Linked DNA regions of Oryzias latipes. The protein of the gene in region 1 binds, or shares a complex with, the protein of each later gene. Links are inferred from orthologs where the notes say so. Each region holds a gene or a part of one and is shown in the gene's direction. Other genes may lie near its edges.

Region 1 (15,280 bases):
ATCGAGCCTCACGTCACAGGGAGGCTGTTCCTGTCCAGGAGCTACAACTTCTTCTACAAACTCACCTTCACCTGGTGGTGATGAGGCGGTGAGACCAGAAAACACATCGTCCCTTCAGATGAAAGGGGTTATCAAAAGTACAAAGTTTGCCTGTTTTCACTCATGTGGGTGTGAAACTGTGTCTTAAGTTCCTGCAGATATTCTAGCTTTTCGGACGGCTCTTTCCCTCCTGCAGCTTCGCAGCATCTGTCTGTGTAACGTCTGCTGCCGTCACGCCGGCTGAGAGTTTTCACAGCTTTGAGGGGAAATTCTGATTCGGACCGGAGTCCTGCGTCAAACTCTCAATGTTGGCTAATCCAACAACCGCTTGAAGGGAAACTGAAAGGTGCAAGCGGCGAACGCGCTGGATGGCAGGGCCGCTGTGACTTCACCACAATACAAGGTGGAGCACGCCACCACATCCTGTGTGATCAGCACGGGGAAAAACAAGACGGGTCAGCAGAGAGGACAACTGCACCCCTCTGGCTCTGCTCATCCACGATAAAACACGAAAATCAGAATTTCCTCCTTCAGCAGATGCAGCCTGAACTCATTTTTCAATAAAGATTAGGACAAAATAATCCGATTTTTCTCTTTGATTTCATGATCGTCTGTCGAGTTTATCGGTGCAGCACATTTTATTTATGAACACAATTCAAAGGGCTTTACTTAAAACATTAAAATAAACATTTTATAGAAAGATTAAAGGAGGGATCACCAAAATAAATATTTTTAAAATTTCAAAAGAGAAATATTAAAAGTAACAGTGCAGATAAAATCTAATCTAATTCAGCTGAGAACAGGCGGGTCTTTAACCTGGACTTTTGTGTCTCAGCTGATCTAAGGTTTTCTGCTAGTCTATTCCAGATCTGTGGAGCCTAGAAGCTGAATGCAGCTTCTCTATGTTTGGTTTGAACTCTAGCAACTGACAGAAGACCGGATCCATCCAAAGCTTTATAAAACAAGAATCCGAACCTTAAAGTCTTTCCTCTGGCAGACTTGCAGCCAGGGGAAAGACCTCAGATCTGGACTGATGTTTTGGTCTCCCGAGCTGCAGAGTTCTGAATTTGCTGCAGTTTCCCGATTGATGTTCTTGGTTGTCCTGTAAAAACACGGTTACACTTAAGATGAATGCATGAACTAGTTTCTCCAGGTCCTGCTTACAGATCATATCTTTAATCCTGGAAGTATTTTGAAGATGACAGGCGGCTGCTTTAATAGAAATAGGAATATCTTTATTTGTCATTGTACGTCGTACAACAAAAGTACAGTGCAATTTTCCGGTGGAATAAAAAGGTAATTTAAAAAAAACAACAACTAAAACTGCGAATAAGACCATATAAAACACCAGTAGGTTACACCTTCTCCAGCTATTGCGCGCTTCTCTTAATAAATTAACCTTGTTTAGCAGTGTTTAAGGCCACGATGGCTCTTGGATAAAAGCTGTTGTTTAATCTGTTTGTCCTTGTTTTAATTGTCCTGTATCTTCTGCCTGAAGGCAGCAGTTCAAACAGAGAATGTTCAGGGTGTGATGGATCCTGCAGAATGTTCTGAGCCTTTTTTAGCCAGCAGGAACTGTACAGTTTTTCCAGGGATGGAAGAGGGCAGCCGATGATCCTCTGGGCTCTCGTAGTGACTCTCTGGAGAGCTTTCCTAGCTGCAGCTGTGCAACTGGCAAACCAGGCACAGACACAGTGTGTTAAAATACTCTCTATTGCGCTGCGGTAGAGGGACACTAGCAGTTTCTCACTCAGACTCATCATTTGCAGAGATAAGCCCCACCACTGTGGTGTGTAATGTTGTTTATCAAAATGTAGACCTGTCTCATTGACTGTATCGGAGAAGTGGAGTGAGCGAGTGTGATGTCATCCATAGAAAATGGTTTACTTCCGTCTCCAACCAAATGAAGTCAGTTCAGTCGCCTGTTTTTCTTGATATGGACGTCACCATATCTGTTCGGCTCACCATCAACGGTTGGAACGTTGGATGTGGGGGTCAGCAGGCTCCACCTACTTTTAAGGCATCTGATTGGTCAGCTTATAACTTGTATATTATGAACCACAGAAAAAATGAGGATTATCAAGAATATGTTAAAAAAAATCTTATCAGGTCAAGAATGGTTATTCAGACCAAAAGAATGACCGTTTTTTTCTCTATGGGATTTTAGCTTCTTGGAGCCAGCAGGTACTTCCTGTTTGGAACGCCACTCAGTCCAGTTCTCATATACAGTTAATGGTAACAGATCATTTGAGCTTTTGTTTCAGGAGCTTTTCCAGAATCCACTGGTTCCCTGAAATAACTTGTTTTTATTGGATGAAAAAGATAGTGAAGAAAAGTAATCAATTTGATGTGTAATTCCAATAAATTAAAAATGGTGTATCAATTCATGAAAGACATTTACCAAACACGAATATACTACCTACATGGATCAACCTGAAAAAATAATTAATCAGTAAAATAACTGTCATTTCAGTTCATTTAAGTCATCAGTCCTGACTCATCTTTAGCATGGGGGGGGGGGGGGGGGGGGGGGCGTCATATTTGTTGGGAACATAGTCACGAAGCCATTACAGTGCAGATTCAGCACATCTATAAATCACGTCTGTTCTTGGTTTCAGTTTCTGCAGGGTTGGCGTGCGTCACCTAAAAGATTTTCTCTAGATTATTCTTTACTTCACACACTTCTTCATCCATGTTAACAGAACCATGCAGCGCTGCATCAGCATTTCACCGTCACAGTTCCTCTGAGGAAACCTTCATTTTCATGACATCTTGGCAGGATTGTTGTCGTCTCGTTCCTGCTCTTTCTGGACTCTCAGCGTCTTCGAACGTCGGTCGGCCTTCAAGAAAACAAGCAGCTTGTTCAGGAAAATGTCTTTTACGTCGTCTGTCCTCCTGACGTCTGCAGGCCGATGTCTTAAAAGCGCTGAAAGTTGCAGAAATGTTTTTTCACACCTTCATTCTCACCCAAAGAGGAGTGACTCTGATCTTTGATGAGGTGGGTGACCTACAATGAAACTCTCATTTTACTTTGGTGGCAAGAAATATATTTAGAGTTTCATCCTCACTGCACACTTTTGGTTAAACAATTTCCATCTTTTTAGAGATTTAAATGTCAAAACTGTCAATGGTGCTTTTTGAAAGCCATAAAAAGGGACATAACTTAGATTTTTAGTTTGCAGAAGGCTGACAAAAAAAAAAAAGAAATAGAGACGAGTCATGAGAAGCAGAGAAAAGCTGCTGAAAATCTGAAGGTGTTGACATAAAGCGAAACATGAAGACCTTTCTCGTTCTTTTGAAGGTAATTTTGTGTCACTAGAGCAGGAAACGGTCACAGGAGGAAAGTAAAGGTGTCTGCCTGCAGAGCGCACCCGCAGAGCAGATTGAGCTGTGGTGGAGGTGAAATGACAAACATGACAGGTGGAAAACGCCTGAAAAGCCTCCTGCTGCTCCTCAGCCTGCACCTCTCAGGTAAGGCTTCTTCCTTCTCCTCTTCACTCGGTTTGCTCCAGCTGCTCGGCTTTAGACATTATAGGAAAAAGGGATGTCAACATGATGTCTTGGACTTAAAACCTTCTCGAAGCCACGAAGATGAGTTAAAAGTTTCAAGAAAGAAGATTTTAAACTTTAAGAGAATTTCACCTGGAAAATTTTTTTAGATTTACATTCTTATATTGAATTATGCTTCTCCCTTTTATGGAGTTATGTCTTCTATAATAATTTTATTGTGTCATAATGTATGCATTTGTAATTGTCTTGTAATTTTTTTTCGTTATTTATCGTTTGTTTTTTTCATTTTTGTTTTTAGCTTTTTATGTGGATAATTTTAACATCTGTCCGGACACAACAGATGGAAAAAAAAGTCTAAATCTGGCTCCCTGAGAAATAAAACGAAATAAATAAACAATAAACTGATGTAAATAAGATGGCATAGGCAGATTGTAATAGGTATTATTATTTTTTTTTATAGAAATTAAACAAACTTATTCTGTCAAGATGAGGGGAAAGAATCTCAAAAGTTTAGAGGAGATTTAAAGGAAAATGTAAAAGTTTTTATTAAACTCCAAACGAACTTTAGACTCTTGTCAAAACGTCAAACTGGTTCAGCAGAAAGTTTTTGTTCTGGATTATAGCAGAAGTAAAGAGGTTTTTCCGTGCTGACATTCTGATTTGTTTGTTGAAGCTTTAATTACCAAATTAACTTTACAGTTTAATCTGGTTTCCTGGAGTTCATTATGGAATATTTAAATACTCCCCAGTTAACATTAAAAACAGGGAATATGACTTTAAACCCACACATTCTTTCTTTTTAAATCTGTATTTTTCTATTCTTGAACCGCCTTTGTCAGGAAATCTTACACTGCTATTAGTGAATCTGGCCACAGGGGGCGGTATAGTAGCTTCTGTTGTTTTACATCAGGCAGCAGTGGATGCAGTTTACTTTTCAAGAGCAGAGTAGTGTTTTACATTGTAAAGTGACCTTGACTTTCTAGAAAGTCACCTAATAACTACAATATATTAGTAATAATATTAGTAATTCCATAGAAAGCAAAAAAATAGAACTCTATTTTTTATTGTTGCCCTTAGGTCGACGTTTTTTTGGACCAGCAAAGAAAAATATATCTTATTCAAAATTGCATCAAACCTTATAATTAGAGTGGCTACACTTGACAGTAGTAAGGCACATGTCTTATAAAGCTTTATTTCTTTACTTTTAAAATTGTATTATTTATTTTGCACACTGTGTTTGTTGTAAGTGTCATGTCATTTTTTTTACCTTGTTCTATGTGGAGATTATGCTTTAAATGAATTGCTTAGGGGGACTTATAAAGTTTCTATTCTGTCTGTATCTTATTGTGTGGTTGTAGAAGTATTGTTTTTGTTTTTTTATGCTATTTTTAGTTTCATGAACAAAACTTTGTACTGGTATACTACGTTTTTATCCAGAGAGCTACATTTGAAGGCCAGAAATCCACCGAAAAAACCACGTCTGTTTGTTGCGTCTATGTCTCTAATAGTGTAAACCCAAATGATCTGTGTGCAATCAAAATATGCTGGGATGGGTTTTAATGTCACTGAAGATAAATTAATGTAATTAATAAATTAATGTCTGCATGTTCCAGGTGTGAGAAGCGACGACAACACTGTGTTTGTGTACAGCAAAGTTGGGGATGAAGCCCTCTTGTTGTGCTCCATTGCCTCCTCCGACTGCTCCTCCATCACCTGGACCTTCTTCAGGAGCGGTCAGGTGCGTTTCTCCAAGGAGGTGATCCAGGGGCAGGTGAACAGAAGTTCGGAAAAGGCCAGTCGCTTGACTGTCGCCTCCAACTGCTCCCTCATCCTTCGAGATCTTGCCCTGGGGGACGTGGGCTCCTACGTTTGCTTGGAGCATGAGAGGGACGTTACTACGGTCTACCTGTCCATCCTCGCCATCAGCTCTCCCTCCAACATCATGGAGCTCAGGCCGGGGGGGACGGTCGTCCTGAGCTGCATCCTCTCTAGCTACTATGATGCAGGAAACTGCAGGCAGTATTCAGGCGGCAGTTTTAAGCTACGCTGGTTAGCAGAAGAGGGGACAGAAATGGACAATCACAGCAGGTTGGAAAGAAAACATTCTTTTGCTTTTGATACTTTACAACAAAAAAAAATAAACTGAGCATAAACCTGGATTATGTTGAATATTTAAATAAATTAGGGGTGCACATAGACTTTTAGAGCTCAAAGAAAACAAATGTATGGATCCCTGAACTTAAGGAGAACTGAATTTTTATTTCTCAAGTTTTCTTTTTTTGTGTGACTTAAAATTGAAATGAATCAGTTTGATTATCTGCAGAAAAAAAGTAAATCTGTAATTCAGGCTTTGAAATGAGAGTCACAGCTGTGATCGTGCTTCTCCTCCAGGCATCAACTGACTGAAAGAACTCACTGCAACGCCACGCTGGTCCTGAATCTGCAGAAGGAGGACAACGGCAGGAGGTGGAGGTGTCAGGTGGAGACCAAGCCAGGCGAAATAGAGACTCATTGGGACTTCACCTCCTCCTTTTTGTTTGAAAACACCTCCTCCGCCCGTGTTCTGCAGCCTCCTGCTGACGGCTTGTGTTCCGTCCGGCTGCCCATCAGCCGCATTGTGTTGTGTGTGGCTCTGCCGCTCATGGTCGGCATCGTGGGATTGGTCACATGGGTGTCGGATAGAAAGAGGAACAAGATGTTAGCTGCTGCTCTGCAGCATGACACCATGGGAATCAATCACTGACCTTTGAGATGATGTTTCTCCCAATGACACTATTCATTTTCTTCACTCTTAAGCTTTTATTCCTAACTTAACAATCTGCACTTCAGCTTTCATCTGAGTACATTTTACTGTTTTTTTAGTTGTCTAGAAAAAAACTTGATATTTGAATGTAAACAGTGTAAAACTTTACAGGCCCTCATTCTCTCTATAATGGAATCATGTGTTTAAATTTAGAAATTTGTAGATGGTTTCAATATTTTGTTGTTAAATACTACCCCTGTCTTTCTTAAGGTAGCGCGGATTACTGGATTTAACTGTCTTAACTGAAGTGACTTATTTGTTTGAACACATGTTTATACAAGTCAGAGGAAATTTGTAAAAAAATACTTGTTTTTTTTTATCTTTATATGCAAACAATAAAAAATATCATCAGATTTTTGGCTATTAGTGCTTTTATTTTATTGTTCTTCTAAAGTTGCTTTATAAACATTTTGCTATTGTTTTCCAAATTAAAATATTTTATGGTGATTTCAAAGATGTTCTATTTCTTGGCTTGTTCTAAAATATTCATGTTTAATGCACATAATTCATTAATTTATTCGTATTCATTCGTATTAATTAATTTAATTCTAAAGTTAATATTTCTAGACAAGGAGTTATTTTTATAGGCCAAAGAAATATTTTAATATTTTATGAAAAAACTGAAGGGTGTCTTGGACATTCATAGACTGCGGACTACCCTGAGTTCTCCACTCCCGGCTTCCGTAGGAAAACAATGCATTTTCACAGCTACGGAAAGTGTAAGGGGACAATTCTGCGTTTTGAGGAAAGAATTGTCTGTGCGTACCTACTGAAACATGGCAGCACATTTGAAGAAGCGAGTGTACGAGGAATTTTCAAAAGTCGTTCAGGTAAACGTTATAATTGTTTTGTTCGTCAGCTTGTTTTTGTGCGCAAGACCTTAATATGAAGCTAAAAACTGCGCTTTCAAGCTAACAGGACCGTTTGCGCATGCTAACTGATTAGCTGACTGAACAGCAACAGGAACCCGTTGCAGCTTCAACAACTCAACACACATTAGAGTTTGTACATGTTTGGTGACTTCATTTAAGGTCAAGTTGTGGAGCTGACTTTCTTTAATGTCACAAATATTTGGCCAATTGCAGCCTAGCTAAAGTGGTTAGCATCTGATATAGCTATAGCAGTCGTTCAGCGGTGCTTTCAGATGTCCTCGGACTTTTATGTGTTTTCTCCTAAAATTTAACTCTTTTTAAGGCCCATTAACTTGGGAATCAGACGTGGTTCAGATATTGGTGGTCATCTCTATCAGCCAGGTTTTTTCCTGTATGTTCAGGAACTAGTAAGACAGAAATCCATTCTATTCATTAACAACATACCCACATATTCATTAAAACAGATTCTATTTTGATTTAAAATGTTGCAGAAATGTGACTTTATACTTTAACTGGTTGCTCTGTGAATCCTGTTCATGGCTATATGTGAAAAGCTCATCAGATTCAGAGGGGAACTGTTTTTGTTTTTTAAAGTTTTTGAGTATCTTTATAAAGCAGATTTTATGAAAAGAATCTAACTCTTTTTAATTAAATTGTTCTCAGATGTTGAGTAGGAAAGGATGTTTAGGTGGTAATAACACATGTTGAATATATTTTAAAAAATCATAAACATTGATCCTGTCTTTGCATTTTTTGTAATAACCTTTAATCATTTAAATAAAGATTGAAACGTTTTCTATGTTTTTTTTTTTGTTTTTTTTTGCATAAATAATCTTCACTGTCATCGTGTTTTCAGATTCCTCATGAAGAAGCTCCGGCCAAGAAGCTGCGTCTGTCCAAACCCAGCAAGTCTGCTGCGCTGCACGTTGACCTCTGCAAAGCCACCAACTCCACCGACGCGCTGCAGTACCTGCTGCAGTTCGCACGCAAGCCCGTGGAGGCGGAGAGCGTGGAGGGCGTGATCCGGATCCTGCTCGAGCACTACTACAAGGTAAACGATGATAATGATCAGCAACAATGTGATTTTTAGAGCCGCTATGACCCTGAGCAGGATTCCACAAGACAAGATGATGAATGGATGTTGGAGATGTGGGCGGGGCAATGGTCGTTCTTTGGAAAATAGATTTCTAAGATTTAGATTTGAATGTTTATTAGTATAAAATGTGAAAAGAAAGTTCTAGTTGCTTTTAATTTTATAGAGGCGTTACTTTTTATTCTTACTGTAACATTTCAATTGTTTAAATAGTTCTAGATAGTTTCTGAATATTAGAACTCGACACCTTTGTTTGAACCGAGAAATGCGTCACGCCAATGTGTCTCATGTCAGGAAAACGACAACTCTGTGAGGCTGAAGATCGCTTCTCTGCTCGGTCTGCTGTCCAAAACCCGGGGCTTCAGCCCGGACTGCATCTTTGATGACGCCATCAACACCCTCAGCAATGAGAGTGAGACACACTCCATCCCTTTTTATTTTCATCAGACCTCAACTGTCCTCTCTGTCGGCCTTTGTGGCTTCATGTTGCGTTCAAAGACCCTTTACTGTCTCTGTGGACAGACTCCCATCAAGTCCTCGCTCAGCTGTTGGGCACTCTGCTGGTCATCGGGACTCAACTGCCAGAGAGTCCTGCAGTCAGACTGAGGCTGACCGAGGTGGCCTGCAAGGTAGCACACACACAAACACACACTCACGGGCACACAAGCACACGCAAATGCAGATGCACTCACAGACATTTACATATATAAAAAGAACACACACACACACACCGATGCACGCACTCATACTCATGCATTTACATACACACATTCCAGCATCTGATAGTTGTGGTCGTCTCCTCTGCAGCATCTGTCTGATACGCACTTCGGGGTGAGGAACAAATGTCTGCAGCTGCTGGGAGGTCTTGGCGTGGCGGACGCTCCTCTGCTTAAAGACGGCGAGGGATCGAGCTCGTCTTCAGGTCTGAATGTCTTAAAGAGGAAACTCTGCAGGCTGTTCAGAGCTTTTCTTCTGAAGCATAACATGACAGCCGTTTGGGTCAGGATGGGTTCTTATTATGCCTTTGACTTGAACAACAGGAGCTGTGAGAGAAGTTCAGACCATCATCAGCGATTACTTCGCAGACCAGGACCCCAGAGTCCGCACCGCAGCCCTGAAGGCCATGGTAGGTCACAGCGGAGCATCTTTACCTGCCAAAAACCTCCACACCGGACGCTGAACAAAGATCCCACGAAGTGCATAACTAATCTGAAGACTTTGTTTGTTTCAGCTGCAGCTTCACGAGAGAGGAATGAAGATCCATCAGATCATCTATGAGCAGGTAGGAGCTCAGGTTTATAGTTTTCACATTTAGGTCAGATTCTGAGGGATTTGATGCTTTGGAACAGAAAACATGGAATCAGTGAAGAGATTTCAGATTACTAGGTTTCACTCACAGCTGAAAAATATGTTTATTTCTTTATTTAACAACTAGTTTTAAGATACTAATTATTTTTTAAGTGTTGCACCTTTCCAGCCAGTCAGAGGCCGGGCCCATATAAAAACATATGTAGTTCAAAGACGTAGGGGTTTTTGATTTATTTATTTTTTTACCTGGGTGTATTTAGTAAATTGGGTTCAAGGTAAAAGTGCTTTTATTTTGAAAAAAACTCAAAAGGTCCAGGCTGTTTTGGTTTTGATTAAAATGCCGCCACGAGCACAGCATCCTGAGGATTTTCTTCAGCTCTTGACGTGAGCCCGGGTGAAGGTCTGAGGAGGAGCTGACCCGTGTTCCTGGTGTTTCCTGCAGGCCTGCAGACTTCTGTCGGATGATTACGAGCAGGTTCGCTCTGCAGCGGTGCAGATGGTTTGGGTTCTCAGTCAGCTGTATCCAGAAAGGTGAAGTTTCCAATTTAAATCCACATCATGTAGGGAAAAAAAACAAGAAAACGCAGGATTTACTCCTCAGTCGGAAGTTCCTCTCTCTTCAGCTGTCTGACTCCTCCTGCTTTCTGTCCAATCAGCATCGTGCCCATCCCATCGTCCAATGAGGAGATCCGGTTGGTTGATGATGCGTTTGGAAAGATCAGTCACATGGTCAGTGATGGTTCCTGGACGGTTCGGGTGCAGGCCGCCAAAACTCTGGTAAAACGAAACATTTGTGATTTGCTTTTAAAATTATTTTTCCTGAAGAGAAATGTTTAAGACAGTAATTCAATCACATTTTGATTACTTTCAAGAAAAAAAAAAGATTTATTTCTTTTCTCCCACTGTCTTTGAACGCAACCATTCAATCAACAATATCCCTTCAAGAAAAATTAAAAAGGTTTTTAATTCAGACCAAAATATGGAAAAAAAGAAATAAAATGCTGAGTGACAGCCAGAATAACTAAAGAAACTAAAAATACATTTATCTATAAACTACTGTTTTAATTGCTTTAGGAAAACTATAAACCAAAATAGTTTTTTGTTTTCAAAAACTCTGAATGTTTCACCACACAAAAATCCTAAAAGCCTCTGTGTAAGTGCCATATGTGAGGTCCCGCCCTGATAGGTTTATTGGAAACCTACACTCTGCGTGTGTCTGCATCTCTACAGACGATAAAAAGATGATCCAGATAACAAGAGATTTTAGCATCTGTGGTGTTTCTGCCTTACAACAATCTGACACAAAACCCTTCTTAAAGACCCACAAGAAAAATGTGTTCATGGTCATTTATAAAGAAAATGACGCTTTAAATAGCATTTCTGAGTATTTCTTTCTTCAAATTGTTGTGAATCCAGAGCAGACTCACGTGAATTTCTAATAAACTCCTACAGAAACTATGTTCTGACAAAACCATTTTGATTTTGGCTCAAAAACAGCATCATCGTAATATAAAAGACCACCGGGAACTCTTTGAAAATAGATCAACAGATGATCCAAGAAGGATTTTAATCATTTAAATTTCAGGTTTTCTCCAGATGTTTCTTAAAGAGATGGACATGGTGACTCAGAGTCTCTGTGGACTAGAGAACCCAGATCGTTTTGTTAAACTGAATGATATATATTGTTTCTTTCATAGGGATTCTAAGTCCAGGCTTCATTAAACACTCTTGTGCTCTTCTATTAATATGCTCACATCTTAACCAAATATTCCAAAGATGAATAAAAAAATCAGAGGAACTTTATTTTCATTCGTTACTTTGTTGGATGAGTGTTTTTATGGTGGAAAGTCTTCATCGGCTGTTGTCTGGCGTTTCAGGGCTCAATGCTGCAGGTCAGTCCTCACTTCCTGGAGCAGACTCTGGATAAGAAGCTGATGTCAGACCTCCGGGTGAGTGGTCGAAGCCTTTTTCTGCTGGGATCTGCTCAAACGCTCGGTGCATTGGAAAACCTGTTTGTGTTCAGAGAAAGAGGACGGCCCACGAACGGGCCAAAGAGCTTTTTGCCTCAGGAGAGTTCTCCTCCGGCAGGAAGTGGGCCGACGACGCCCCGAAGGAGAAACTGGACACCAACACGGTCAGCCTGATCGCCTCGGGGGCCTGCGGCGCCTTCGTTCACGGTCTGGAGGACGAGATGTTTGGTGCGAGAAACAACTTTCTCTCAAAATGAGCTTCTACGCTGCTGTCCTCCTTCAAACCAGCTGAGTTTCCGTCATCTTTGTGCCTCTCCGGTTTCTCCGTTTGAATGCTCAGAGGTGCGCATCGCGGCGGTGGAGGCGCTGTGCCAGCTGGCTTGCTCTTCACCCAGCTTTGCTGAAAAGTGCCTGGACTTCCTGGTGGACATGTTCAACGACGAAATCGAGGAAGTGCGGCTGCAGTCCATCCACGTGCTCAGGGAGATCTCCACCCACATCACCCTCAGAGAGGACCAGCTGGACACCGTCCTCGCTGTCCTGGAGGTAAACCCGAACCGCCGACGCCACGGTCCAGAATCACTGAAGGTCATGTGGTGAAGGGAATCTCTCTCTGTCCAGGATTCATCCAGAGACATCAGAGAAGCTCTCCACGAGTTGCTTTGTTACACCAACGTGTCCACCAAAGAGTGCATCCAATTGGCTCTGCTGGAGCTGCTGAAGAACCTCAACAAGTACCCGACCGACCGCAACTCCGTCTGGAAGTAAGAACTCGTTTACGCTCCGTTTCCCATCCCTCAGAGCCCAGATCTTCAGTTCTGAAGGCAAACTTCAGCGATTCTGTCTGCTTTTTGCTCCGAGACCAGAGCAAACATCCTGCTGGTTTTTCTGAGGCGTTTTCATTTTTTGAAAATAATTACAGATCCTGCTGGAAACAGAAGAAGAGTTCTGTCCTAATGGGAGGTTTGATTTTTGATTTGATTTGAAATGGTTTATTTCAAGCAATCAAAGCAAGAATAATGCACAGAACATCTACAATCAGCGCTTATACATTCATACAAAGACGTATCAAACTTAGGATAATGTTATTAAAAAGTCTCTATTGTGTGAAGACAAACTTGAGTAAATCTAAACGTCTTTGAATGCCAACTTTCTCTCCTCTGTGATTTTTCACCATATTTACGCTGATAAATTCTGTCGAAACGGTTACTTTAGCTTCCAAAATATCAGAGGTTTTCTGAAACCATTTTTGGTCAAACTGCTTTAGAAACCGCTTGTGGTTTTTCTTTCTTCTGCTCAGGTGTTTGAAGTTTCTGGGCTCTCGTCACCCGACGCTGGTGCTGCCGCTGGTTCCTGAGCTGCTCAGCACTCATCCGTACTTCGACACGCCGGAGCCCGACATGGACGACCCGGCCTGTATCCTTGGCCGAGCGCAGTCGCCGTCTGCAGACAGCAGAACGGCTGAAGCCGTCCCAGCTCTGATCAAACACTCATTTATTCAAAACCCACTAGAATGATGAATTAACACATTAAAAACGGATTTTCTCCTCTTTTATTTTTCAAACCGGCTCCTCCGGGTGTTGTAGCTTGTTGGTGGAGGTGACGTTTTTCTCTGTTCCTTTTCTTCACTCCTGCTGATCCCAGACATTGCGGTTCTGGTTTTGGTTTTCAACGCCGCCAAGTCGTGTCCGACCATGCCAGCGCTGTTCTCTGACCACACCTTCAGGCACTACGCCTACCTGAGGGACAGCCTGTCCCACCTAGTTCCTCCTCTCAGGGTGAGGGCTTCCTTTCATGTCCTCCATGACAGAAGATGCAGGAAATTTAAAAACGTTTCCAAAAGGAATTGAAGAAATTGAAGTGTGTATAAACGGTGAACGATCTGGTTCAACGCTGACCCCCTTGTAACTGTTTCCCGCTTCAGCTGCCAGGCAGGAAGCAGGTCTACAGTCTGGACTCCGTGGACTCGGATGCTGGTTCTGGTTCTGTGGAGTCGGCCCAACTCTTCCTCCAGCAGAGCCTTCACAGAGTCAGTACCATCCAAAACCTGGAAACCCCTGGAGGTCAGGACCTGCTGGACTTCACCATACGGTAGGGACAAACACAGGATGTCCTTCACACACAGGAAGTCCTTCACACACAGGAAGTCCTTCACACGCAGGAAGTCCTTCACACGCAGGAAGTCCTTCACACACAGGAAGTCCTTCACACGCAGGAAGTCCTTCACACACAGGAAGTCCTTCACACACAGGAAGTCCTTCACACGCAGGAAGTCCTTCACACACTGGAAGTCCTTCACACACTGGAAGTCCTTCACACACAGGAAGTACTTTTAGAGCCTGCAGCCGTTTGGAGCGTAAACTTCTGAAGAATCTGTGCAGCTGGAATCACAGGAACGCCAAGCTTCTAGGAGATGATCTGGCACTTTACCTTTAACGTGTCTGTGATTTTAAATCTTTACAAGTACATAGATGGTTTTATCGCATGCCGAGTCCTTTGAGCAAATGTAGAGCCACAGGAGCTCCTCAGGGCTCAGTGTTGGGCCTCCTTCTGTTGCATAAACCACCAACCAGCAGGAGATGACTGTGTCCTTCAATTCACAGATTCACGACCAAAGTCAAAAATTGCAGAAAAACCACCCACCATGACAAAGATTTCAACATTTACAGCTGTTGTTCTCCAAATATTCCTAAACATTTGGATTGACTCTTTGGTTTTATATAATTCCAAAAATTTAAAAGTATTTTAATGATCATCATATTACTGAGTTTACCGTCTAAAGTAAAGTTTCACCAAAATTTTAAAAACTAATACATTTGCACAGTTTGACAAAAACGTGGTTTAAAACCAGGAAAAAGTCCGGAGGAATCCTCCGTCCCGGCTGTGTGAACATTCCCTCAGCTGCTCTCCTCCCGTTTGTCCCGCAGAGACCTGCAGCGGCTCGGAGAGCTGCAGACTGAACTCGCTGGAGCTGCGGATTTCTGCGCCACGTACCTGCGCTGCCAGCTGCTGCTCATGAAGGTGGGAGAGGAACGCCGGCAGGCCTCTTCCAGAAGCTTCCTCAAGCCGTAAAAACTCACAAGTCTTCGTTCCTCCAGGCTCTGCAGGAGAAGCTGTGGAACACGGCCGTCCCTCTGTGCCTCAAACAAAACGTCACGGCCACGGCCGCAGCTCAGCAGGTCAGTGGGCATGCACACGCATGCACGCACGCCTCTGTAGGAGCAGCAGCTCTGACCGAAGCAGCTGTGGTTTCAGATTGTGGAGGAAACCTACAAACTGGAGTTTCTCTACAGCGGCTTGGAGAACCGGCAGGTGGCCACCATCCACCACGTCCGACTGCAGGCCAAAGCTCTGCAGCTCATCCTGACGGCTCGCACCAGACAAGGGTCAGCGCAGCCGCCGCCGCACACACACACACACACACACACGCAAGAAGTCATCATAAGAGGAATCAAACGCTCTGCTTTCTCCCCAGACTGGATCCTCTGGTCAGCAGCGAGAAGTTTCTTCAGGAAGTGGAATCTTTTCAGAGGTCAGCGCCTTGTTTGTTGGTCCCTTTGGTACCCTTAAGTGTTTTTTGTTTTTTACTCTTTTCAACGATCAAATCTTTGTTTTTCATCAGATATATATGTGTGTGTGTGTGTGTATGTATATATATATATATATATATAATATATATATACAC
Region 2 (15,236 bases), on another chromosome or scaffold:
AGCTTAAGATCAGGTAGTGGATTGTGCTTGCTTCTCTGTCTCCCTTTCACTTAAAGATTTTTAGTCATTTCAAGGCATTTCTTGGATTGACTATAAACTTTGGAGTATTTCGGAATGGATTTATCTTTTCTTTGTTGCACCTGAGAGAAGGATCAGCTGAATACAGTGGCAAGTGGCTCTGGGATCCGGTGGGAATGATGTGCAAACGTGCATTTTAAAAAGCGCAGTACGAGGCTGTTGTAAACTTTGTTTTTCTTTAAAAAGAAAGGTCAGTGTTTCATTACTTTGTCTTTCCCGGTATTATATTATTATCAGAAACAACCAAAAATAAGTAGATTGTCTCACAACTCACTTAAACAGAGAGACTTGAATGTTGTTTTATGGAATCAAGGAAAATTCTAACTGGAGAACAACAATCAAAAATTCAGACATTGTAGATTTTATCTAGCAAACACTTTCTGAAGGCATTAGGGTAAAACCTTTGAATGTATGTGAGAACTGGACTGAGGGCCCCCTGCCCCCCATGGCATACTAAACAGGAAGTACCCGCATAGACTTCTCCTGAGTAATAAACAGATGTGACTCACTCAGTTATTCTGTCAGAATAACCATTCTTGTTCTCACACTTTTTTTATTTTCATATTTTTTCTGTAGTGCAAGTTATTCAAGCAGGTGGTCTCACATTGAACGTTTGAAACATTTGATTGACAGATTCTCCAGAGCCTGCTTTCAAGTGGAAGGGGTGTGGCCTTCCAACAAGCTCACTCCTGATTGGTGAGAGCAGTATTTTCCAATATGGATTATGATTGCTTTATTTCATTTTGAAATGATTTTGTAATGGTACAGGTCGATTGACTACACAACTTGCCTCAGACAAATCAACCTGGTTGGATCTTAGGAATATAAATCGATTAATCGCTACACTCCAAAGAGAAACAATGATTAAGACCGTTTTTGACCAACCACTACTTAGTCATTTTCTGTGGGTAACGTCCCACTCACTTAATCCAGTTCTCATATAGAGTCAATGGGTTGAATAGGTAAAAAGAAAGTAAAGCTTTACTTTAAGTTTGGTCATCGTTGGCCGGGGGCCCCCGACGAACGGAAGTGGCGTGGTCGTCTCCTGACTTCCCTCTTCCTCCAGCAGGGTCGCTGAAGGATGGGCTGACGGCCATGGAGGGCAAGTCGTGGCAACTTGGAGGGTGGACAGATGAAGCCCACAGTCTTTTGCTGCCCGCATGACACCGGGCACCTCTTGAACACGGTTGTACCAACGGAGCAGGTTGGGAAGCTGCTGCAGAGCGCTGGGGGCACTGGCTTGAAGGGAACACTTCGAGATAAGCAGAGCAAATGAAAATGAGGGGAGGGAGAACACAAGCAGAGTATTGATTAGATGATTCGGACCAACGCGTTATAAATGTCAGGTTTAACAAGCGATTGCTAGTCAAACCGGGGCTCTGCATAGAAACCTAAGACAAACAAAGCTGTGATCACGGATAAAGAAGACAGCCACAGGAGACAGCGTGGGATGTGTGTTGTGGACAGAGAAAACACGCTAAGCTGAGTATGAAACTGGAAACCACTGGAGCACAGCTGACTGCTAAAAGCCTCACTGTGAGAACATCAGTTAAATCCCAACATCTGAGGAACAGACTGAGACAGTTGAGAGGTGAAACTGAGGCTGGAGACTCACTAAAGCATTCCAGAACGACATAGAACAGGTCCAACAAGAGCTATCAGCACAGGCAAGATGAAAACATGGAGGTGCAAATGGTTTTCCAAAGAAATGTAAAAGGAAATACTTTTACTGCTAATTATCCAGTAAAATCAAAAACACAAACAGAACATTTGCTCCTGTGACATTCTTGTGCTTAATGTTCAGTTTTCAGATTTGAAAGGGAAAAAAAGCTTCTTTTTTTCCATCTAAATATTGAAAAATACTCATATTTTTTTTGTTTGTTAAATAAAACTTTAAGGCATTTTTAATAATACGGGGTTCACAAAAGGGAAGAATTTGAGATGTGTTAAGAAAAAACATGCTATATAGATCATTTTGAGGCACAAACAGATAGTTAATCATAGGAATAACATGCTTGTTAAGTAGGAACCTATTCAAAGTACAAACTAAATGAAAATAAAAGGCAGTTTCAATTTTTTTTTTTGCAGGTTAGAGTTTATTAACAATAAAATAGAAAAGTGAAATCTTAGAAAAATGGACGGAGAAACTGGTTAAATTTGGGAATAGAGTAAACCCTGCACACCCAAGTGGTGATTTAAGGGCAGCTGCCAAAAGGACACAACTATGAACGCACAAAGCTGCAAGACTCATTTTTGCTGAAACTTTCACAGCTAAGGCACAGTCTTTTAGCAGTAATGCTCCCTAAAAAGACTGAACCAAAAACCCAAGCTTTTAGGGAATGCATGTAATCTTCTAAGAAAGCAACAATGCAAAAATCTGGATTTAACCAAGCAATGCAGTTTGAAGTTTATCATGGCATGCCAGAAAAACAGGTATGAATGAAACATTTGTTAGCTTACCAGAACAAAAGTGTGGAATAAAAACGGGGAAAAAATGAATAAAGAACTCTAGATAAAATGTACTAATCTAAGTCTTGCTAAAAGCTCTAAATGTGAAGGAAGCACCAAAAGGCTGCAGGACGTATACGTCTAACTGTTATAGGGATAATCATCACTACAGTAATGTTTTAATTTACTGCTGCAGAAATTATAATCCATACCATTCATACATAGTGGTAAGTTTTTTTTTGTTTAGTTTTGAATAACAATGTTGGTCAAAATACCACAATCAAATATTTTGGCTCCAGCGAGACCCATTCCTTTTGTGGGGTATTAGAAACACCTGGAGGTGCTTTAGGGCAAACATGTTCAGTTACTGACAGACTCATGGGAATGCCTGAGAGGAGAGTATTTTTACAAATCAACAAGTATTTTATATCTGTAGACATTCCATTAAACTTCTATAACTCTTTAAAATTGCTCAATCTTTTTCTTTCTCCAAAGAGCTAATTAAGTATTTTGTTAAATTGTTTTTTTCAAGCTTCAACCACTGCTGCTCCTTTTGAAAGCACTTTAATGCTGTTAAATTAGTTCCTACTGTCAAATGAGCGGCACTCATTTTTAGTATTCGCACTCGAATCTGATTCAACTTTAGGTCAATAAAAAAAACCAAAGTGTTTCGATTCTGCAAAAAAAAAAAAAAAAAAAAGTTCCCAAATGAAATGCATTTTAACCTCCCTAATGTGCGACCCTTTCGCACGCTGTTATCAGGCTCTGCCAGATGGCTCCGGACCACCTGTGAGAGCAAACAGGTGCCAAGTCCTCTTTACTCAAGTTTCTGCTTGAATGCACCTGACAGGAGTCTGCTCACCCTGACCGGAGTGCTAAAACCATACGTCATGCATAATTTGACAAGTTATCACAATAAAAGTCTCAGCAAGCCAGTTAAAACTTGCAACTTCACTTTTCAAACAGAGAGGTGCATAATGGGAAGTAAGGCCCTGCAAGGGTTCACGTAGGGAGACCAAATATGAATAATGACCCTCACCAACGGCTCGGGACGAAATAATGTCCTCAAAGGTTTTTGAAGAAAAACGTGTCAAGTCTAGCGAAGGTTTAAGGTTTATGCAGTAATAACAAAATGAAATGATCATTTAGAGTGTCTTTATGGATCATAAAGCAGAGGAATCCTTGAAAAATGGAAAGACTGGCGTCCTTAAGCATGAGGGCTCACTTATCACGGCACTCTGAATAAGTCACACTGCTCAATGATCCGGTGCAAATCCCTTACCAGATACTGATGAATACATGGCAAGAGCACCACATCAGTCAGAGTGAAATACAGCCCTTCAGCGAACACGTGCTCCAGTGGCGGCAGCTCGCTGGTCTTCACTTTCCTGATCTCAGAGTTCTCCCTGGTGGTTACCGCCGGTACTGACACCACAGAGAGCTTAGCCAAAGCTGCCCTCAGCTCCAGCTCGTCAGAAACCTGTGGCGGACGTCCTGGAGACGGCTCCTTGTTCGCCTGGCCTCCAACAGGCTCCAGCTTCTCCCTGCGTTTCTGCTCTTGGAGCTTCTGCCTCCGGATTTTGTCGTCGTTGTGGACTTTGACGGGTTCTGCTAGCCGGCTCTCCAGGGTGAGAACAGGGAGAGGCAGCTGCTTCCCCACATCTCCTGGGTTATGGAGGTGTTCCTCCACAGCAGAAGGAATGCCTATTTCACACAGTCTGGTCCACTTGCTCACCTGCAGGGGGAAAGAGATACAGAACTTTACTCAACACCTATATGACGCTTTGGACAGTTTTGGCCGATTTCAAAATAAAATTCCCTGAGAAAAAATGATCAAAAGAGCTTTTAACAGCTCTTTAAAAAAATGCTTGTGACCGAAGCTTAAAGTATAATTTCAACAAAATGTTACTTTTTTGTAGTGTATCATATGACAGCAAGATGGCAACTAAATATACAGTCAGGACCATAAATATTTGGACAGAGACACATTCTTTCTAATTTTGTTTCTCTACATTACCACAGTGAATTTTAAATATAACAGCTCAGATGCCATTGAAGTGCAGACTTTCAGCTTTTATTCCATGGGTTGAACAAAAAGATTGCATAAAAATGTGAAAAACTAAAGCATTTTTTAAAGGCAATCCCTTCATTTCATGGGCTCCTGGACAAATGAAATAACTGAAAACAAAATGGTCATTACTAATATTTGGTTGGAAACTCTTTGTTGGCTATGACAGCCTGAAGTCTTGAACTCATGGACATCACCAGATGCTGGGTTTTCTGCTTCTGAATGCTCTGCCAGGCCTTTACTGCAGTGGCTTTCTGTTGCTGTTTCTTTGTGGGCCTTTCTGTCTGAAGTTTAGTCTGCAACAAGTGAAATGCATGCCGAGCAAAGACCTATCTAGCCTTCTTCCTATTCTTAAGGCTTATGACTTGTATCTTGCAGTGTACCCTCTGGATCTACTTTCATACATTCTTCTTTTTATGGCAGACTTGGATATTGATACGCCTACCTCCTGGAGAGTGTTGTTCACTTGGTTGGCAGTTGTGAACAGGTTCCTCTTCACCATGGAAATGATTTTGCCATCATCCACCACTGTTGTCTTCCGTGGACGTCCAGGTCTTTTTGCGTTGCTGAGTTCACCAGTGCTTTCTTTCTTTCTCAGGATGTACCACACTGTTGATTTTGCCACTCCTAATACTGTAGCAATTTCTGGCATGGTTTTTTTCTGTTTTCTCAGCTTAATGATGGCTCCTTTCACCTGCATGGAGAGCTCCTTTGACTGCATGTTGTCTGTTCACAGCAAAATCTTCCAAATGCAAGCACGAGTCCTCTAATCAACTCCAGGCAGAAACAAAATTAGAAAGAATGTGTCTCTGTCCAAATATTTATGGTCCTGACTGTATATGTAGATGCAGTTTGGTCTGGGTCATCTTGTACTGCTAGCAACAAATCCTGCCTTTAGGTGTTCAATGATGGAGTCAATTTGACAAGACTGTAGGTATCTTTTTTTACTGCCATCACATGTGTGTTGCCCACTGTAATGGCACTCTGTCAGTTTTTATGTTATAGTAAAATACACCCACAAGGCCTCAATCCAAATGGGACTTTCCAATATTGATAATAATCAATTTATTTCATTTTGAAATGATTTCATAGGTCGATTCAATTAACAGCTTGCGTCAGAAAGATCTGGTTGGATCATAGGAATAAAATTCGATTTTAGTCAATTAATCATTACATCCATAATTTGTTGGCAAGGTGCACCACCTGTCACCGGGGGGAAATGTCTGATAATTAATGTTGCTGTTTTTCTGTAACATATGGCAACATTGACCTGAAACTGTAAGATGATACTTGGTGTTGTGTTGGGGGGGTGTCATTTTTGTGGCATCTTTTTGCCTACAAACACAACAGCTGTTCCTTTCATGTAAAACTGCATAACTTTGATGCCCTTTAATGCAAAGCATCACGGTCTTTTCATATTTTCAAAACACACATAAAGACTTTTTGTGTTTTTCCATCCTGACAACCAAAACAAACCTACAGAGACGTGATAGAGTGTAATTGCACCAACCTCTGCACAGGCTTTTAAGCAGGTCTTTTTGAAGCCCAGCAGAGCTGCTACATCCTTCCTGGAAGGGTCAGCCTCGATGCTCTTGTCGATGATGTGTCTGAGGACCACCGCCAGTCCGGCCCTGCAGATCTGCGCGCTCTCATCCAGAGCAGCGGGGAGGCGGCAGCTGCTCACCAGTTTGGGCAGCTCGTCCACCTGGACGTCTGAGAGACTTGCAGATGCTGGAAGCTGGCTCTTCAGAGGCTCGGAGCTGCTGCTGTCGCCAAGGACGAGAAACACTCTGAAAGACTCGCAGTCGCAGTAAGACAGCAGAAACAGAACTATAGAAGAGTGCAGGGGAAGACGCAGCTGCTCGTTTTGGCTGCAAACTTCTAAGTAGAGGCACGGGGGTTGTTCGGCGTGTGTCATGGTAAATGCTGTGAATGGGAGAAATATGTTTAAGTATTTTTTATTATCACTATTTGTCTTTTCAACTGCTAATAATGCCATAAAACAGTCAGAAAGAAGTCATACAGACCGGCTACTTTACAAACATCACGTTATCAGCGTGCTGCTTTTTCTTCTTCTACTACGAGTTATTGAGTCGAGTATTGCCACAGCGCCACCAGCTGGTCGTTAAAATATATACATTTTAAATGCATTTATTGATAGAAAGTCGGTTAGAATAAAACTTATTTAAAAATACGAGTGAAAAAACAAAAAACAAATTCGCTTTGCTATTACGTGAAGTATATTTTTTGTTCTACTTGCGCCGCCCACTTAGATTCCGGACACATTTATCGGGTGCACATTGTGAAAGACATAAAACGTCAGCGGCGATTTCCTCTTTGTGGAAAGAGTTCTATTAAACAGAAATATCTACAGCAGAGACCAACATTTTGCAGAAACTGAGTGTGAGGTAGGATTACCCATTTAAAGCTATAGACTGGGGATTTTGACGTGTTGGTGACATTTGGGAAGATAACTTTACCTACGGTGTCGCAGTGATATTGTTCCGTCCATCTGCTACCAACGATTACTTTAAACCCTACCAACTGGATTTGAGCATTGTGGGTTGTTTTTAATAGACACAGGCATCATATTTCTTTATATATTTGTAGTAAATAATGCAGAGGCAGGATTTCTTGTAATAAATACCGCAAATAAGGAAAAATAGCTGGTTAGTCTTAAAAACGTTCCGTTTTTGTGTACCCATTATTAGGCAAAACTCTTAAAAATGAACATTTTTATTGGTTGCTGTATTTTTTGTTAGTTTTGACAGCCTATAGTTCATTGTAAATTGCTTTATTTGATTACAATTGTAATTAGCAAACTATAACTTTGAATAAATATGCTCATCATTGATATTCATTGTTGTAAATGCTCCCAGACGCCTATAAACATGTGTGACTGACTTAATAAATGTTTGTTTTTGTTTTTGTTTTTTATTATAGTTAGTATATTTAATTTGCAATCTAGATAAGATGAAATAGTTTTGTATTGTAGCAAAGTGTACATTTGTAATTTGCAGACGTCAATGAAAACCTAACATTATTCAATCATTTTCTAACTAGGCCATGGCTGGACCTGTCAGCTTGGAGTTGGACCCCCTTTTTTTAAAGGCTCTGGGTTATTTGCACTCCAAGAACAAAGATTCAGCAGAGAAACTCAAAGCTTTACTCGATGAGTCCCTTGCGAGAGGAGGTGACTCCTCCTACCGCTCATTACAAAAAGTAAGATCCGCTTCTTATAAAGATAGTCTTACGCTGTCAGTGATAATTCATTCGTATGGAGCTTATTGCTCCTCTTTTCTGCTGTGTTCATCTTTAGGACTTGGAAATGCCAAAAAGTTCTGTGTCCAAACTGAGCCTGACTAAGCAAGACTCAAAGTCTTTGAGCACTCCATCTTCCAGCAACAGTGGAAGTTCCAAATCCAGTTCAGAGAAGAGCAAGAAAGAAGCAGAGAAGAGGCCATCAGAGAAGGTGGGGGATTAAAAGTGTTGTCACATTATCATGTATGTTTAGATGACACCATGTGCCATGATTGGACTGTACTCATTAATTCTCTTCAGGATTTACATTGATTCCAATTAAAGCTGCAACAATTGTCAATCATTAGAATTTAGGAATAAAGCCCTGAAGAGACATAAAATATTGACAAATGCAAAAAGAAATGACAACACTCAAAAAAAAAATGTTTGGAATAAAATTTGAGACTTTTTTTTAACACCAGAAAAAGGATGCCTGATCAGGGAAAGAGAAAAAGAAAACATACATGGGTCATTATTTTAACATATCAGCAACTTAAAGGTTGTTTTTTTTTATGAATAATCGAAGTCTTGATTTATGGCTTTCCTGGGTCTTGTAATTGAATATTATTACTTTATTTTATGAACTAAATGATGCCACAGCGAGATGAACAAGTCCATTTCTAACAAACATGTACATCCTTAGTTTAAAATAATAATAATAGACATTGCTTGGGACTTTCTTCTCAATCTGTGGTTATTTTAAGCATAACAGCTTGTGTGATTGAACACCAATGTTGGTATGAATTTTCAAATTTCATACGTTCTCTGTCTCATTGACAAATAGATACGGGTGGAGTTGTCTGAAGTGGATCCTCCAAAAAAGTCCCGCTTGGAGAAACCGGACAATCGCTCGTCCCCTATAACTGTTCAGACGAGCAAGGACCTCATGCCCAACATACACGACTACGATGAAACTAATGCTGACGACTTTGCCATGGAAATGGGACTGGCTTGTGTGGTTTGCAGGTGCTTGTTAATTATCAAATGAAATGAAATGAAACTTTGAGTTTCTTTGTTATTTGCACATTTTTCTGGTTTGTGGATCCAGTTTCTCTTTCTACAACGTGCGAGTTGGTATGAAATTCTCTTCACTCAACTGTTTTTGCGTCTGCGTTTCTCTGAACTGTAGACAAATGACGGTGACCATGGGAAACCAGTTGGTGGAGTGTCAGGAGTGTCATAATCTGTACCACCAGGACTGCCACAAGCCCCAAGTGACAGACAAAGAGGTCAACGACCCCCGCCTTGTGTGGTACTGTGCTCGTTGTACCAGGCAAATGAAACGCATGGTGAGAGCTGTTCCTGTGCTCGGGTATTGACTCTTATAGTGATCAGCTGGGAGTCATGGCAACAGGACCAACAGTCTTCATTAAAGCTAATGATTTTTGTGTGTGTGTTCTCAAGGCGCAGAAACCTCCACAAAAACCGTCTCCTGCATCTGCATCATCAGTGCCTGTGGTGAAAGACACGCTGGTGAAGAAAACGGAGGGCAAGCTTAAGATTGACACAGCCAACACCTTCCAAGCCTTCAAAAGGACAGAGGTGAAGGTACGTGGTGACTTTTGTCGTCTAGACCTGTGGTCTCCAACCCCCCGGGCCGCAGACAGAAAAAAAAATGTATACACTAACTTCGATCATTTCTGTTTTGTTTATCACGATCTTTTATTATCTTTATGCAGTGCACAATGAAATTGTTTTCAGCAGCTCTTTTTCAATGAATAATTGCACATAGAAAAATAAATGTGCAGCCAGAGCGTTGTCAACAGAGTAGTGTATTTTCTGATACTAAAGAGAGTTTTATTTTGAAAAACTACCGGATTTTGTTTACCACATCCGTCCGTCTTAACGCGTCTCGTGACTTTAAGCATCTGCTCGGAACCTCGCAAGGCAAAGTTGGTTGCTCAACGCTTAAAGGCAAATCAAAACCAAACAATAAAACGTATTTGAAAAGTTTCTTTGGGGAGAGAAGAGTTAGTGTGGAAACAGAGGAAGAACATTTGACTTCAAAGGAAAATAAAGCTGCTATATGCAGACAAAATCAGGAGTCGTTCTTTAAATATGGATTTATTGAGATTCCCATGAACCAGAAGCTGCTCGCTTGTCTGATATGAAGTGACTGACATTTGAATGTTTCACTCATCCCGATAATGACGTTGCAAACGTGATGAACTCATGTTTATTATTTAGAAAATAAGTGAGTTGTGTCATTTATTTTGCTTTATTTATCCTTCTCATCTTAAAAGCCGGACGTGCCTGAAGTGAGCGTCTGGTTGTTAGCCCCCACTTTGACATTAAAGGGAAAATCTTCATCACAAAGTTTAAATTTAAACTATCCACAAACAATTTACAGGGAATGATTGTGTCAATCAAATAAAGTTTCGATTCGTGGAAACTTGTAAAGGGGACATTTTCTACAGCAAGGGAGAATTAATAAACATAAGAGCAGAGAAAATGTTTCTCTGTGTTCAAAAATACACAGTGAATCTGAATTTATGTAAAAACAAAATATGATCAGTCTTTTTGCCCTGAAAGATGATCTCAGACTGAGTTGAGTTATTTATTATAATGGTTTTCTATGTAAAAGAAGAAGAAAAAAACTATAAATTTGCTTTCATTGAATTATTTACAAATAAACAACTTTGACTCACTGAATCTTTGTCATATGTTAAAAAATAAAATTAAAAAAATCTGCTAATGGTCTCTGATTTTTTTTTTTTTTTTTTTTACAAAATTTCTTGTTATAGTATTTTATTTGAAAAAATAGGGTGTTCAGAAACCAGAAGCTTTAAAAAGATTAAACACAAACTTTGCCCGTTCGGACCGTTCCGTGAAAATATAGTCTTGACATTGAACCGGTCTGTGGCGAACCAGCATGTGGAGCTGCACAATATGGCCTTTTTCTATCCATATCTAAATGTAAAAAACTAAAAAAGTACTTGAAAATACCGTGTAAATGTTAAAATTGTAAAAAGAAATTGCAGTGAAGATTTTTCTAAAAATAACGTTTGCATTAGAAGCTTTAAACAGTTTGAACTAAAAACAACGCAGCAGGTCCACCTGAGGTGGCAAAGCACAAAAAAATCTTTAACAACAAAACATGAAATTTTCATCCTCTGGCACAAAAATGTGAATGTAGAAACATATCTCAGACATTTAAAACTGCAGCAGTCACATTAGCAGTTGTGGGGGGGGGGGGGGGAGTTGTTTGTAATACCTATGCAAAAGCATCATGTTTACTTTTTTTTTTCCATTTTCTTTTTTCACATTTCCACGGTAACAAAGTTTAGTCAATAAGAAAAACGCAATTACTCTAGCTGTACTTAAAAACCAAGGATTGGTTTAAAGCAAAGTTGTCTTTTTATTTATTTTTTAAGTTACATATTTAAGATTAATAGAAATGAGACAAGCGTGAAATTGTAAGGGGTTGCTTCTTGGTTTAAAATATTTTTGATGAAATGTGACGAATTTGTGACATCCTTTAGTTTCCTAACTTTGATTCTTTTCTCTTTTTTTTTTTTTGTCACACAGCCACCTGTCACATTGGCGAGTTCCACTATTTCAACATCCTCCTCCTCTAGCAGCGGTCTGACAGGCTGGGCTGCATTTGGCGCCAAAACAAACCCCTCTCTTCCCGCTAGCTCCAAACTAGCTTCCTCTGGCGCGAGCGGGAGCAGCAAGACCTTGACAGCTCCTAGTCAGAAACCTGTCGGGTTGTCAGGGCTCGCTGGAGCCAAGTCAGGACTTGCAGGAGGAAAAGTCGTTGGAAACAACAATGGAAATGGCTCCAGCCAGGTAACTCTCAAGCCTCCTCCACCTCTGACTTTGGGGAAGCAGCCAGTCAGTCGCTCGTCGAGCACAGAAAACCCGGGGAAAGTGTCCTCGCCATCTGGGGCAGGCTCTCCGAGCAACGCCCAAACAGGCTCCAGTGGCAGCAATAATGGAGGAGGTAATGGAAACAACGGTAATGGACATAAAGGCGCTCCAGGAGACAAAGCACCAACCTCTCAAGAATCCCAACTAAACGCCATGAAACGGCTGCAAATGGTCAAGAAGAAAGCAGCACAGAAAAAGATGAAGAAATAAGTGGATGCATAGAGAAAAGATGAAAGGAACATACAGGAAATTAGTGAATTCATTGCCAGAACTTTGCAAAAACTTGAGGAGCTGCACATGGAGCATACTTGAAGCTAACTTTGTAGAAAAATGTCACTTCATCATTAGATCTGATCCCTTAAAAATGCTCCTTTTTACCTATAATGTCATTAAATCTCCTGTTCTTATAAAATTATTGTAGCTGGTGTTTCTTGTGTGGATGCGAGTCAGTATGCCATATAAAATGAACAAAAGTACCACAACAATTTATTCATAAACATCATTTTTTATTTACAATGTCACCTTTTCAACACCAATGATAAAATTCTTCACTTTAAATGCACACAAAATAGTTTCTTAAACCTTCATAGATCGTTGACAAATATACTTCATATATCTTCTTCTATAAATCTTCTCACATATATTGTATTTACTTCATATTTAAATCACTTCATTTTTACTCTAAACAACACTGAAGAACAAAAAGTGCTCAGCAAAAGTGCTGTTTGCTTTTTAATGGAACCGCTCGCTTTTTTTTAACACGTTATTGCTCAAAGGCGTAGGCGAGCTCTTGTGGTTCATTCTCACAAAGACAAAGACTGTGATCAACCATTTCAATACAAAAACATAACTGATTGCATCTGCTTTCAAAAAGTGCTGTTTGACATCAGCAAAGAGTTAAAAAAAGAAACAGTGCTAAAAGAAAATAACATTTCACTTTCCAAACTGTTAAGACTCAGTATTTTGTCAAAATACTTTTGCATGAGGAACTCTTTTATTTAAAATATTTCCCAACTTTTTTATTATAAAAGTAAATAACATTAAGCTTTCTTCTTTTTAGTATAGAGTTTAGCACTTATTTATTTTAGTTCCGAGCTGCATTCGATTTTTTTCGAGACATTTTTTTCTTTTCATGATAACAGGCCAGTTTGGCTTCTGTAGCCTTCCGCACGCTCTAGGGCAGGCATGTCCAAAGTCCGGCACTTGTCCGGCCAAATGCGACCTGTGTTAAAATTCCACCGCCCCGCGGGCTCCTGTCATAAAATCAAAAATATGGGGCTCCCAGCCCTTTCTGAAAAACTGTGCAGACGATTTCTTGAATGTGATTACGTTATAAACCATTGTAAACCTGTGGCAAACACTATAGTGTGACACTTTCTGGCTCATTTCTAAGATGTGAACTGTAAATAAATTTTTTTTTAGAAACGTAAGCTGACAATGAGGCCCACTCCTTTCAAGTGGAAATTTTTCTGTGAAATATAACATCTGTGTCGGCCTAACATGCCAAGAGACTGGCTGTTTTTCAAGGAGTTCAATATCAAGAAGGTTTACGAGACAGAAGATGCTAACTGGTAAAGAACATTGCATGGGCTTTGAAAATGAGATTCACAGCCATTGCTGGCTGATGCAGGCTGCAGGGTCTCACAAACATTCTCCTCATCACATCTAGCCCTCTTTGCAAAAAGTTTTGACACCCCTGAACTTAAAGGTTCCCGGTTGCTAAAGTCCCACATCCTTAGCAACACTCATTCTCAGCGTGATTTATCACATGACACTACCATCATGAAACATGGCCATCCCATCAGGGACGCCCATCATCCAATAATGGAAGAACTCATTGTAATTGGACAACTCAAAAACACAGCTTTAAATATGCATCCCAGAAACATATATGTTATTATATTTGCTGTTTTTTTTAGTAGATGTTCATATTTTTATTCATAAACACTAAGAGAGAAAAAACAGACTTTAGTCAGAAATCCTACTTCAAGGGTTCATCCTCACTGAAAGCTGTCTGGACCGTCACTTTCATATTTTAATGTGAAATTGTAAGAATTTGCAAAGATTCAGTGATGTCTTCACAAGAGAGAAGATCAAAAGGACAGATTGAAACGATCTTCATCCCCTTCAGACATGCATTTTTTTTTTATATCCCTGTGTTGGCTCAGAACACTTCCAATAATCATCATGTGTCTAAAAAACAAGACAGAAGTACCCTAAAATACACAGTCACATATGAGGAGATGTCTGCCATTTGTCTGGGCTGAAGCCCGTCAACAGATGAGCTGCTGTTTTGTGGTTTCATCACAGACTGAAGTTTTCAAGGAAAATTAATCAGAGGGAGAGAATAAGCAATCGGTGTATTGCCAGCTGGCACATCAAAAGACGACTTGCGCTTTGAAATGGAGAAGTTACAAAACTACGAAAAATGCCCTGAAGCAGCATTTTTCCTACAAAAAAACCTTGCTTGTTCCAGCAGTTATTTTTGGTCAACCACAAAGTTAGTGATATTTGTTCGGGTTGATGTAACCCTTGTGCTATCCTAGGCACTTTAACATTGGGAGTTGGGTCATCTAGACCCACTAGACAGAGCGCTAAACCTTTTTTCTTCAATGATTTGTGATCTTCACTGGTCTCCATGGATTACATTTAATTTTTCCACCTCTATCCACCTTTGTCATGGTAGGGATAACATGTCAATGTAAGGGTGGGGTCATCTAAGATAGCACAAGGGGTAAAGAAGTACTTTTCTTCCTTTTTTTTGAACCTTTGTTGGAATCATGGTTTTGCAAGCTTCTCCCTTTTCATCCTTTTTTATATTGTTTTTGCACAAAATGTGTTTCAGAAAATAGAAATTTTTAGAAATGGGAAAATGTATTTAGGATTTTCTGTTTCAAAAGGAAAGAAAAAGAGTAAAGATTTGCTGAAAATTGCAAATATAGGAAAGTATTTTATAAAGCCTGTAACCCCTTTTTTTCCCCTTCGGTTTTTACCTTTAAGTATGAAGGAGTAAAAAAAAAAGACCTTGAATTATGCATAAGACATTTTACCAAGATAGTTAGCTGGAACATATCCTCTTTGTCCATTGGCCTCTGCTAACCACCACTCCTTATTGCCCCCCAGGTCACAAAACTGGATGATGCGGACATGCTGGTACTCCTGCAAGGTCAGCTCCTGGGCGCAGCGAGCTTGGAACGCATACACGGCATAAAACTGTGGAAATACACACTTTAGGTGTAATGACAGCAAATACGTCATTTGTGTTGACAGTACTGAAAACAGATTACACACTGCACAATCCTGTCAATCCAGAGGGTGGCACTGTTTTATCAATTCTCAGCAGGGGTGACTGAACAACATCTTGTTCCTAGCTGCTGTCTTTTTTTTTCTTTCTTTTTTTTTTACTTTTTGCATTTTACCAGCAAAATGCTGTATTGCTACAGCCTTTTTTCAATATGTCATTTAAATA

What was found.
Region 2: ints4 (region 1) and ints12 share a complex: the UniProt entries of both Homo sapiens proteins name them as parts of the integrator complex. The link is inferred for Oryzias latipes from reciprocal best matches to the Homo sapiens genes INTS4 and INTS12.

The regions. Positions count from the first base shown.
Region 1 is NC_019871.2:2,455,444-2,470,723, forward strand, and holds the start of ints4 (integrator complex subunit 4), read left to right. Parts: upstream 1-7,050; 5' UTR 7,051-7,128; coding exon 7,129-7,182; intron 7,183-8,080; coding exon 8,081-8,275; intron 8,276-8,611; coding exon 8,612-8,729; intron 8,730-8,839; coding exon 8,840-8,946; intron 8,947-9,124; coding exon 9,125-9,239; intron 9,240-9,357; coding exon 9,358-9,443; intron 9,444-9,548; coding exon 9,549-9,599; intron 9,600-10,067; coding exon 10,068-10,156; intron 10,157-10,281; coding exon 10,282-10,402; intron 10,403-11,502; coding exon 11,503-11,574; intron 11,575-11,648; coding exon 11,649-11,823; intron 11,824-11,935; coding exon 11,936-12,141; intron 12,142-12,216; coding exon 12,217-12,359; intron 12,360-12,895; coding exon 12,896-13,011; intron 13,012-13,239; coding exon 13,240-13,373; intron 13,374-13,519; coding exon 13,520-13,686; intron 13,687-14,522; coding exon 14,523-14,616; intron 14,617-14,693; coding exon 14,694-14,774; intron 14,775-14,850; coding exon 14,851-14,981; intron 14,982-15,070; and 2 more. Other genes in the region: BTB/POZ domain-containing protein KCTD14, read left to right, coding at 1-81; uncharacterized protein LOC105355351, read left to right, coding at 3,444-3,510, 5,163-5,637, 5,941-6,292. UniProt on the Homo sapiens protein: Component of the integrator complex, a multiprotein complex that terminates RNA polymerase II (Pol II) transcription in the promoter-proximal region of genes.
Region 2 is NC_019859.2:15,813,818-15,829,053, reverse strand, and holds ints12 (integrator complex subunit 12), read left to right. Parts: upstream 1-6,510; coding exon 6,511-6,513; exon of another isoform or gene 6,514-6,520; intron 6,521-6,621; exon of another isoform or gene 6,622-6,777; intron 6,778-6,883; exon of another isoform or gene 6,884-7,002; intron 7,003-7,657; coding exon 7,658-7,816; intron 7,817-7,913; coding exon 7,914-8,066; intron 8,067-8,678; coding exon 8,679-8,860; intron 8,861-9,023; coding exon 9,024-9,183; intron 9,184-9,298; coding exon 9,299-9,442; intron 9,443-11,422; coding exon 11,423-11,977; 3' UTR 11,978-12,185; downstream 12,186-15,236. Other genes in the region: gstcd (glutathione S-transferase C-terminal domain-containing protein), read right to left, coding at 1,064-1,330, 3,809-4,261, 6,105-6,512; arhgef38 (rho guanine nucleotide exchange factor 38), read right to left, coding at 14,798-14,980. UniProt on the Homo sapiens protein: Component of the integrator complex, a multiprotein complex that terminates RNA polymerase II (Pol II) transcription in the promoter-proximal region of genes.